Diceros bicornis minor: one gene and its partners. The protein of the gene in region 3 purifies or fractionates together with the protein of the main gene of each other region. This does not show direct contact. Links are inferred from orthologs where the notes say so. Each region holds a gene or a part of one and is shown on either strand. Other genes may lie near its edges.

Region 1 (3,745 bases), on a different chromosome or scaffold from region 3:
TGGTGTGACTCATGAGCATTACTTGTCTCCTCCAGGGAAGCAGCCTGCCCACCCACAAGTCACTGCTGCTCTGGCACCGCTGGGATAAAATCGACCAACTCAGGAACCTCTGCCCAAGGACTCCCCTCCTCCCACTTTGTTACTGAACAGGACTCCCTGCTGCTTGGGAACCCTCCCTTAATCGTGTCACCACTGACCTGGCCCCCAGGCCTGGTCCTGGGCACCCCTGTCCTCTCCCCACAAGCAGAGTGCTCTAGCCTTTTGCTGCTGCAGGGATGGGGGCTGGGTGCACGCGGGGCACACGTGTATAGGGGAGCATGCTCAGTGCAGGGGTGCACCCACGTGCGGCCTGCGCCTCCGCTCCCTGTCCCCCCCACCTCTGCCGAGTCTCCGTGTGAAGTCCAGGAAGAAAGGCCACCACAAAAAAAGGTCCCTGTGTACTATGTGCACGCACCCTGGACACACACCTCTGGTGGCCCAGAAACAACGTGGGTGTGTTTAAGAAGAATGCCAAGTGGATATTACTGCACATAGGCACAGTGGTCATTCCTCGGGAGGGAGGCCTTTAAAAACTGCCCAGATCCTTTCCTCTCTGGATGGACGCATGAAGGAAGGATAGATGTATTTTTAGCCCGGAGGCAGGGGGATACACTGCATGACCTCTCTGGCATTTGGGCGTCCATATTGTTGGTAGTGTGCTTAATCAGCAAGGGTGTGACCGCACACACACCTGGACACTCAGATGTGGACACATGGGGCACGAGGACGCACATCTCACCCCAACCAAAGATAGGCGGGTAACCCAAACCATAGCCCCTTGCCGAGGAGGGGGGCCTGGGCCTCCAGCTCCTTGTTCTCTTCCCTGATTCCGAGGGGTCACTGACCCTGGGCCCGAGCCCCGTGGGCCACTCTCCATCTCGAAAGTGAAGGGGATGGGGCTGTGAGGGTGACTCACGCCGCCTCCAGGCCAGGGGAGCGCCGGAGCGGAGGCCAGGGCCGCAGGCGACGCTGCCCGCTCGGGCCTGGCGGCCGCGGCCGCGGCCCCTTTAAGCGCCCCCGCCCCTCCGCCCGCGCTCCCGGCTTCCTTTCTCCGGGAGGCGCGGCCGGCGGGGCCCGGCGGAGGGGCGGGTGTGCAGGCTGCCCCTCCCCCGGTGGGCAGGGCCTGCGCCGCTTCCTGCGGGAGCGGCCGCGAGCCGCGCAGGGGGCGGAGAGAGCGAGCGGCGAGCGGCGAGCGGCGGCGGGGCGGCGCGGGGCGGCGCGGGGCGGAGGGCGCCCGAGGGCGAGCGGGCAGGCGGGCACGGCGGGTCCCGGGCCAGTCCCGGGGGCGGACGGTTGGCCGGGCGCGCGGAGCCTCGCCGGGGCCGAGGCGGGCCGGGCAGCAGGGGCCGCCGCCGCCCGGGCCCGCCGCCCGCGCCCGCGCCCCCCACGCTGGCCCAGAGGGCTGCGGCCGCGTCGCCGCTGAGGATGTCCCGGAAGGGGCCGCGAGCGGAGGTGTGTGCGGACTGCAGCGCCCCGGGTAAGCGGGCCGGGCCGGGGGCGGGACCGCGCACCGAGGCCGCCGCCGGGCGGGCGCCGGGGCCTGGCGGGAGCGCCGTGCGGGGCCGGAGGGCGGGGCGGGCCTGGGGGCTGCGGCCTCCGGCCTCAGCCCCCGCCCGAGCCACTGCGGAGCCGCGTCCTTGGCGGGAGGGCCGGCCTGGGGGGGGCCCTTGTTTCCTCGCGTCCGTGGACGAGCGAAGAAGGACATTCCCGGCGCCGCCTCCCACCCTTCAGTCTGAGGAAGGCGGGCAGCTAGTTGCCCCCCCTCCTATCTCCGTATCCAAACGGAAGCGCCAGCCTGGGGGGGGCGGGAGGGCTGTGGCGGAGGCCGGCAGGGTTTAGGAGGTGGGGGCGAGTGTGGTTTTGTGTCATCTCAGTGCCGCCCCCGCGTCTTGCACCTGCTGCTCGCATGGTCTGCGCGCCCGCTGGGGTGGCGGAGGGCAAGGGGCAGAGAGCTGGGTGGATGGGCCAGGGGGGCCTGGCTACTGTTTCCTCGGGAGCAGATGAGAGGGTGGCTACTCCTAGGACTCCCTGCCCCTGGTTCCCAAGGCTGGGGCTCCTTGCAGGGCCTGGTGTTCAGGGCCAGTATGAGCCTGGGCATCTTCCCCTGAGGCATCCCCAGGCCGCCTGGTGTCTGGCAGCAACTAGACTCGGCTTTTTCTGTGCCCTAGTAAGGCCTGCTTGGGAAGGTGGGCTTGCATTGCCCCAGCCTGGGCACAGACCCCTCCCGGTCCCCTAGCCCAGTCTGGCCAGAAATGGGTAGGGAGCAGTGCTGAGGGGTGCCTAGATTCCCGGGATCCAGCTGGCTTCCTGGCCTGCCTCCTGGCTGTATTTACAGTGGTGTTTCCCTTCTCCTTCACAGCAGAGTCAGGTCCAGGCTGATGTGAAACTCCCCTGACCTGCTGAGGAAGTGAGGTGCAGTGACCTGAAAGGCTGCTCCCTTCTAATGTGGGGGGACACTGCCAGTGATGGGGCTCAGCAGCTGGCCTGGGGAAGGAAGCCCTGGCCCCTGTCCATCCTGTCTTTAGAAAAGGAGCCATCTCTGTGGGAGACATCTGGGCAGGCTCAGGGGGTCTCTGAATTCCAGGGGGACTGTGGGCACAATTAAGTGTGCGAGTGTGGGGTGCTGTTTTATGGGCCCATAACTTCCAGCTACCCTTTGCACAGGCCCAGGACCCCAACAGGTTAAGACCCACAGACACTCTGGTGGTTCTGATGGCTCCAAGCTAGAGTGTTTGGGCACTGTGGATGCCTGGCAGAGGCCTGGTCCTCTGTGGGTGGTTATGACCCCGAGGCCTCCTCTCAGGGCATGTCATGGTCTAAAGGGTTCTGAAGAAGCTATCTGGGGGATATGTGTTCTTACCCCTAATTAGCTGGAAACTATGATCCCCTTCTCCCAACCACAGGAAAGTCTGGGGTTGGCAGGGCTGAGAGGAGAGCTTGCCCTCTACATGTCTGTCCCAGGATGTTCTGCACCTCTGCTGGGTGGGCATAGCACTGAGCGGGCAAGAAGGGCTGGGAGGGGGGTGCTTAGCAGTCACCCTATCAGGGGAGCCTGGATTTTAGTGTTACCTGTGTTTCCAGCTCACTCTGTGACCCGTGGCAAGACTTGCCTCATTCTGGGCTTTAGTTTCCTCAACTGTGAGGCAAAGAAGTTGGAGTAGAAATGGTTTTGAGGACCATCCCATCTCCAAGTCTGTTGTCCTGATTCTGGGCCAGAGGGACATAGGGCAGCATCAGCAAGGGTATCTTTTCTCCATTGCATTTAACTGTTTGGCTGAAGCCTCTGGATGCCCACTGGGCTCCGGGAGGAGTGGTGTGTATCTGTGTTGAACTGCCCAGCTCCTATCCCCAGTCCTCATCCCACAGGCATCTGTGCCCTGGCTACCTCCTTTTCCCCTTGTCCAGAATACAGGTCAGGAAGAGGCAGGTGAGGTGGGCAGGGTGCTGACAAAGTCTTACTCATTACTCCCCCACCCCCCAGCACCTAGCATGGTATCTGGCACATAGCAGCCACTCCCCAAGCATTTGGATGCTTGTCAGGGCCCCAGCTGGCTACTTGGGGCTACCCCCCACCCCCACTCTATGATGCTTGGAGTGGCATTCTCAGTCTGGGAACTGCAGCAGCCCAGGTAAGAGGCTTGAGAGTAACAGCAGTCTGGAGCCCAGACCCAGAGCACCCACCCCACTAGCCTCCCTGCTGAGTGTC
Region 2 (3,745 bases), on a different chromosome or scaffold from region 3:
GGAGGGGCCGGAGGAGGCACAGGTAGAGGGACAGCTGGCTCTGGCTCAGGCTTGGGCTTGGCTGTAGGGGCCCCTACTGCTGCTGGTTTGGGAGCAGGCTTGGAGACAGCGGGCCCTGCTGGTTTCTTCACAGGAATATCCTTCTTGGGAGGCATGATGTCCAGTGGCCAAAGGACAGTGTGCCGATCGGGGCACCCATCTCTGTTTAAATAGCCAGGGAGTCTGGGATGTCAAGGGGCGGGGGCAGGGGCAGGGAGCCAGTTGGCGGTGGGAAGGGTGAGATAAGAGGAGAGATATGCTGGCCTGCCCTCACTCCCCTGGCCTCCTGTGGTTCAGGACTCCTGTCCCAAGGTCTTCTCCCTTCTGTCCACCCCGCCCCAAATGCTGGCCAGAACAATGGCCCCTTTGGGGGGAAGGAGAGGAAGCCAGAGACTGCCTGTAATGGGGGAGTTCACCTCTGGGGTGAGGATAGGATGCTTGCCACTGACAGACACTGAGACAGAGGTGAAGCAAAGAAGGGGATTCAGGCATGCCAGGCTCTCAACTCCCTGACTCAGAGTAGCCCTTTTTTGCTAGCAGCCTTAGACTCTTCATGGTCGAGGCAGGGAGGGGACCTTGTGAACTGGGATTGTTAAAGTGGGGTCTGGGAGCAGTGAAACATGAAAAAAACAAGCAGCCCCTCCATTCCCCTCTGACCATAGATGAGGAGCGGGGGTAGCTGACCACTTATAGTCCCTGTCCCCCTCCCTCCCAGCCCAGGACTGGAACTATGCACAACAGAGAAAGAATAATAATAGAAAGACGAGTGTGACCCCCCCATTGTCTCCTGTGCCCAGTGTTGTTTTAGGGGTGGGGGTGGGGGCAAAGGTTGGATCGGGCTTAACCCCCACCACCCATACTCCCAGGGAAGGAACCCTTTTCCACAGGCCCGTGGTCATTCAAGTCGGACAAAGGCAGGGTGCCTGCTGAACCTGCAGGGACTCCGTGGTGACACCTGGGGGGGAAGGGCAGGCTCTGAGAGGCGAACGGCCTAAATTCTAAAACCTCTAATCCAAAAGGATGTGGGAGGTTCCATGGGCTCCATGAGTACTCATCCCCCAGTCAGAGGGATAACAAAAACCCTGACTTGGCTGCCAGGTAACAAACCTCACTGGGGCGCTGGGGAAGGGTCGGAGTGGGGGCCTTTGGCAGAGGGGAGGGGTTGCTGGCTACTTTTGTTGGGGGGAGGGGGAGAAGGAGAGGATTTAAATAGCATTCTGAAGAAGACAGCCGTGATTCTACCTAGGCCCTGGGGTTCAGAGAGTTGATGCTGGGTCTCCCACCCGCAAAAAAGCGTCTGAATCTCATTACTGCAAATTGTCCCATTTTAGGAAAATCAGAATCATCTCTCCCGCCGAGAGTACATCACACACACACACACACACACACACACACACACACCTAAGTCTTAAATTAAGGAAAGAGTCCCTCCCCAGCTCCCTAAAACTCACCCTGCAGGGTCCAGGTAAGGGGCGGAGGCGGGGCGCAGGGCGGCCGCGGGCCCTGAAGGGTTAACTCCGGCGGCCTCGGAGCATGCCGGGAGTCGTAGTCCCCGCGCGCCCGCGGGCTCACGGGAAACGCCGCTCTCCAGCTCCAAGCGGAAGCCGGGGCTGTGGCTACCGGCCGGTGGCGCCGGTTGGTGACTCAGGCTCTTTCGGGCCCGATTCTTGTCCTGGAACTGAAAGGCAATGAGCGATTTACAATCCCCACCCCTCACCCTGAAACCGCGCGCGGCCCTTCAGGGTATCTCCGTTGCTTGGCCCCGAGTTCCCCGTTTAGTGTGGGCGGGGATATTTTCCTGCATCCACTGGTGAGAGAACTCAGAACCAGGGGAAAGACTGAAGCTGCAGCTGCCGCAGGCCGGATAGAGGTCAGATAGAAGGAAGCACTTACTGCCCCGGGGAGAGTGGTGCCGTCTCTTTAGCTTCCTCTTGCGGTTTGGTGGAGGGAGAACAGAGGCCGTTGAGTTGCTGTCTGACTTGGAACAGTAACTCCAAAGTTGTTTTTATTTTTTTTTAATTGAGCTGGTCGTTGAAGTAAATGTTAAGATTTGGAATTAAGCCCGATCACCTGCCCCACTCTCTCCAAGTGGAAGCTTCTCCATACCGCGGCCACACGTGCGCCAGCCACCTCGTCCAGTCCTCACAGGTCTCGTTGGAACAGAGGGCTGGGCTCACCAGCCTTTCACTCTGAGACTTCTTTGGACCTCCCATTCCCCCAGACGTTTACCAGGGGTCTCCTCTGTGCTAGGAGGGAACCAGCCCAGCCAGGCCCACCTGCACGATCTGGATCAGGAAACGCCCCGGCGGTGACTCTCCTGCTGGAGGCTGAGGCTTCACAGGGGGTGGGGAGGGGTGGGGCGCAGGCATTGGATCAGGGTGGGAAACCCGCGGGGGCTCAGGAGGGTGAGGCATGAGGGAAAAAAGGGCTACTCTGAGTCAGGGAGCAGTAAGTGATGTTCGCTGGCTGGAGAAAGCTTCTCCGAAGAGTAGAAATGGGTCGTAAAACAGAAATAACAGTGATGATGAACAGGCGGTCATCAGCAACCATCCCGGAGGCCTCCCCAGAGCAGGGGCTGCCTGGAGGGCTAAGTCATCTCAGAGAGGCAGCCCAGTGGTGCTCGAGTGGGGCTCAGACCTGCCTGCTTCAATTCTAATCCAGCTTCTGCCAGATGTTTACTGGAAACCTCCAGCAAGTTTAGTTATTTTTCTGTGCCTCAGTTTCCCCATCTGTAAAATAAAGGTAATAGTACCTACCTCACAGGCCTGTGGAGAGGATTAGACGTGTTAATACTTGTAAAACAAAGTGGGCCTGGCACAGAGTAAGTGGTATATAGGTGTTAAATAAATTTCTTTTGGTCTTCCCAACATGTGAGGTAGTTGGTATTTTCCCCATTTTACATCCATCAAGGATCACTAGGCGTGAAGAGATGGAGAGCAAGAAGGAATACATTTCTCCTAAGTGTTTCGTTACAGGACTGTTTGGAGAAGGGCCACATCACAAATGACTTTTTGTGTCTTTCATCACTTCCACAAAAGTTGATTTCGAAGATGTGGTTTATCTGATTTTTTGCCTCCGCTTTTCCTCTAGCCAGAGCGCACTTGTGGCACTTTGCCAAGTAGAAGTGGTTATGGCGTCATCTGACTTTCTAGCATTTTTGTCTGCTTCAGAGAGAAGTAGTGCAAGGAGAAAAGATGAAGACCTTTGGCAAACGTGGGTTGGAGGACTGTCCTTCATCTTTTGTACTGTCTCTTTATTTTAATAGTAAATAATGCACACTGGACTGAACACCGTGTTAACTGAGCATAGGTGATTAATACATCGTGTATGTGGATTTTCTGCAACAAATGCCTGTTTCTCCTCTCTTCCTTCCCCACTTAGTATGTGACTTGTATGTTCTTAGGGATTGCATATTTATTCTAATATTAGTCTCAATATAAAATAATTAGGAAGGGCACATCTTTAAAAGAAAAAGAAAATGTGTACATTAAAAGCCTAAGAGAACAATTTTTGGAATTATACAGCCCTGTAGATCTTCAGTAGCTTGAATAATTATGGGTTCACCCAATACAGCTTAACTAGCTCTTTAAACACTAGCTAACGTGTTAAAATGGATAATAGTTTAGGTAGAGAGAACACTATTTCCTAAGTAAATAGAAAAAAATTTGTTAGGAAAGATGTCTTTAGTCCTCTGGCATTTTGACCG
Region 3 (3,745 bases):
AAATTATGTATCTAGATTTTTCACTGAAGTATTGTTTGCTACATACCATCCCTTAAATAAAGTAATACAGCTTAAATTTTTTTTTGTAAAGGTACATTTCACTTCTAATATGGCTTAGCCCTAGTCAACGTCAGTGTCAAATATAGTATCAAAAAACTGACTGAATAGGCCAGGAACTGTGTTTCATGCCTAACACTCCCTTCACAGAGCCTAGCAGTGCCTCAGAGTAACAGAAACAGAAATAATGATACTGGCAGCTGGCACTTACTCAGCAGGGGCCAGGCACCTGTGAGGCACTTAACATCTAGCATCTTGTTTAATCCTCACAATGTCCCCTAGGGGCACCTCTCCTGGGGGCGATGAGCTATACCCTCAGGTTTTCCCCATAAGTGGTGAGGTGGGGATTTAAAGGAAGGATCCAGATCCCATAGTAGGCATTCAACAAGTATTTGACCAAACAAGCCAATACAAACAGTAGAGGTCCATAATCTGTAAGTACTATTAAATACACTAAATATATCCGTTGTGCTTATGTGTTAGTTATTTTAAAGTAAGAATATTACATACTGTGTGTGGTTAGATATTGAATTATCAGCAATTTGATTTTTTAAAAAACTAGTATTACTTCATATTCTAAGCATTATTGATTAAGCATTTTTAATTTTTAAAGGAAATTCAGATAATTTAAAATGTTCCTAAGACAAAGTGACGTGTTTAGCTAATTCATTATGCAAAAGGATCAAAAGTTCATTTAAACGACTTCACTGTTAAACCAGCTAATTAGACATTTTCCCCCACATCAAAGTAAAGCTGCCTTTTAAAAGGTTAAAAAAAAACCAAGTACCACACATATTCCTAAGTAGGTGAAACTAACAATTTTTAGTTATTTACATAGAACCATGAAGGGTTAATAATCCCTCACATTTGTCAGTCTGACAAATCCGACAGACCAGCATCTTTAATAAATAAGTTGTCTAACTGTCCTTCCTGCATCTGAATTAGTTAGAGAAACAATTTCAAACGTCTAACTTACAATGACCGAAAAAAGCTGAGAATTCACAAATTCACTGAGAGGCATAAAAGCACCATCAGTCCTAATGACAAGTTTGGGGACTATTAATCAAAAGGAACAGTGATGCCAGAACTCTTCCTTCGACTTTACAAGACTCAAAAAATGGACCAATTGCATTCTGAGTTTGATGAAACTGGTAGTAATTCCTGGAGCTTCCTTGTTAACGCCCAACTACTCGAGCAACGCTGAGACACACAATTTTGCTCGGATTACACTGAGATTCTTGTTTCTATGGGAGAAAAAAAGTGCATAAGACAAGTCTTGTCTTCCTCGAGGGCCTGTAACCACCACGGACAGGCATGAAAAGAAATGTCTTGAGTCACAGGGCAGCTCGGCTCCGGGAGCCTGTTCTGCTACATCCCATACCTAACCCATGAATCGAAAGGCAATTTCTTTCTTTTTTTTTCCTCAATGACCACACCACGTTCAGAGAACGTTCTCAATCACACCCAGCTTCTCGCAGTGAGAATCTTAGAAGTTTCTCCAGGGAAATAGCAAAAATGATCATTTAAAAAATCCTAAAAGTGGCGAAGCAGTACAAGTGGAAGACACCCCCCAGTAACTCAGTGAAGGGTCACCCAACCAGCCCGTGCAAATATTCGTCAAATATCACCGACCCGACCGGCGCCACCCTCGGACGCTCTCAGTGGGGCTCGAGAGGTTCATACAAAAACCAAGGAAGGGTCCTGATCCGTAACAAGGCGACGCTGCAAGCCCACTTAATCCACAGGCCGACGCGGGAGGGCGGCGGGGCGGCGCTGGGGGAGCTCGGCCTGGCCGGCGGTCAGCGGCGCGGGGAGCAGGCGGGAGGGTGGAGTTCACTTTTCCCTCCGGCCGCGACCGGTGGTGCCCTCCCCCACCGAAAAAAAAAAACCAGCGGGAACCAGGCCCGCGCCGCCCGAGCCCGGGGAGGGGTGGCGGCCTGCGCCCCCCGCCCCGCAGAGGCCCAGGCCCCACGCGAGCCCGTGGCGCGCGCCCGCCCGCCCGGCCCGACCCCCGGTCCTCCGGCCCCCGGCCCGGCCCCGCACTCACCCGTCTCCCACCACCACACACTTGATGGCCTGCATCTGGGCCGCTCGCTGGGCCGCGGCGGCGGCGGCCGGGCGCTGAGGCGAGAAGCGGCGGGCTCGGGGCGCGGCGGGCGGACGGGCGCGCGGCTGCGGGCGGCGGGGCGCGGGGTGCCGGGGCCGCGGTCCACGCCGCCTCGCCCTCCGCCGACGGGAAGCCGAAGCCCAGCAGCGGCCACCACCCAAAGCTGGGGAAAACTGCAGAGAAACAGGAAATGGCTGCTCCACTCACATCCGGCCTCCCCTCCCCCGCGCCGGCGCCGCCGCTCCCAGGCTCCGGGGCGGGGCCGCTCCCGCCCGCGCGGCTCCCGGGGTTCCTCTCGGCTTCGGGGACGCTCGGGAGCGCTCGGCTCCAGCCGCTGGGCGCGCCTCGGAGGGCGGCGGGGCGGGCCGGCCGCCATCTTTGCGCTCTGACAGACGCGGGCCCAGCCCGCCCCGGCCGGGCCTGGCGTCGGCCTTGGCAGGATCTCTGGGTTCCAGACACCCCGCTCCCCGCGTCCCCGACCAACTCCAGCCCGAGGCCATGCAAAGGGCGTTCACCTATATTTTTTATGTGAGAACCATAACTTATGTGATGACGAGGTCCTTCTAGAAAATTCGGAACCTAAAGCTATAAAAAAGAGAAGACCATACGCCATAGCATTATTCAGAGATAAGAGATGTTCATTCAGGAAAATTAATTGTCTTTACTGCGTTGAGCGTTTACATGTCCTGTTGCTTTGCGCCGAGTTCTGGAGATAATGTTTGTTCGCAGACCATTGAAATGCCGATATTTTGGTATATTTCCTCTCAGTTATTTCTTTATGTGCATAACAAACATGTTTTAAACAAAAGTAAGAAATCATGCTGAATCGTTACAACGTTTTTAATGGCTGCTTACTATTCGTTGCATTATGCACATGTACCTTAATTTAACCAATTCCTCTATTATTGGACAGTTGAATTGTCCCTATTTGAGAAGCAATGCTGGGATGAACAAGTTTATGCAAGAATCTTTATAGCTCTATTTCTTTAGACTACGTTTCCTACTGGGTTAATAGGCGTGAATGTTTCTAAAGCTTTTTATACGTGTTGCTGCATTGTCCTCCTGCAAGGTAATAACCAGTGCTCACTCCCATCAACTCTGTTAGCGAGTGGACCCTCCAGGGGAGTTGATTTCCCATGATGTTTTCATCTTGTAGGCCTTCTCTTCCTATAACGCGCTCTGTTGCTCAGTATTGTAACAATTTTCTGAAATCAGACCTTTTCCACACAAGTTTTTTTTTAAAAACATTTTTGTCTTGCAATTATTTCAAAATAAACATGTTCCCAGGGCAAAGGACACCTCCTTTTTGCTTTGTTCATAACGATCTCCCATAAAGAAGAGTTGAAATTTCAAGGATAGGAGAACAACAGTGTCCCCTTTGCTGATAGAAATTTCCAGTGACTCTATGACAAGCCTAAACTACTAAGTGTAGTTACTTTCATGTTTTTAGACCAGGAGCAAATAAAAGGGTGAGGCCTTGGGTCAATAATTTAATCCAACTGAACAAACATTTGAGTGCTGCTGTGGCGTAAGGGACTCATAGGAAATGAACGAGATGGGGACACAGTTGCCAGGATATCA

The links.
Region 1: the proteins of RAC1 (region 3) and GIT1 purify together in Homo sapiens (affinity purification with mass spectrometry; 3 studies listed by BioGRID). This does not show direct contact. The link is inferred for Diceros bicornis minor from reciprocal best matches to the Homo sapiens genes RAC1 and GIT1.
Region 2: the proteins of RAC1 (region 3) and MYL6B purify together in Homo sapiens (affinity purification with mass spectrometry; 3 studies listed by BioGRID and IntAct, with this or other methods). This does not show direct contact. The link is inferred for Diceros bicornis minor from reciprocal best matches to the Homo sapiens genes RAC1 and MYL6B.

Annotation. Positions count from the first base shown.
Region 1 is NC_080757.1:18,092,277-18,096,021, forward strand, and holds the start of GIT1 (ARF GTPase-activating protein GIT1), read left to right. Parts: upstream 1-1,258; 5' UTR 1,259-1,464; coding exon 1,465-1,516; intron 1,517-3,745. UniProt on the Homo sapiens protein: GTPase-activating protein for ADP ribosylation factor family members, including ARF1.
Region 2 is NC_080756.1:12,614,739-12,618,483, forward strand, and holds the start of MYL6B (myosin light chain 6B), read right to left. Parts: upstream 2,321-3,745; 5' UTR 1,933-2,320; intron 1,718-1,932; 5' UTR 1,491-1,717; intron 202-1,490; 5' UTR 156-201; coding exon 1-155. UniProt on the Homo sapiens protein: Regulatory light chain of myosin. Does not bind calcium.
Region 3 is NC_080765.1:8,897,326-8,901,070, reverse strand, and holds the start of RAC1 (ras-related C3 botulinum toxin substrate 1), read right to left. Parts: upstream 2,326-3,745; 5' UTR 2,140-2,325; coding exon 2,105-2,139; intron 1-2,104. UniProt on the Homo sapiens protein: Plasma membrane-associated small GTPase which cycles between active GTP-bound and inactive GDP-bound states.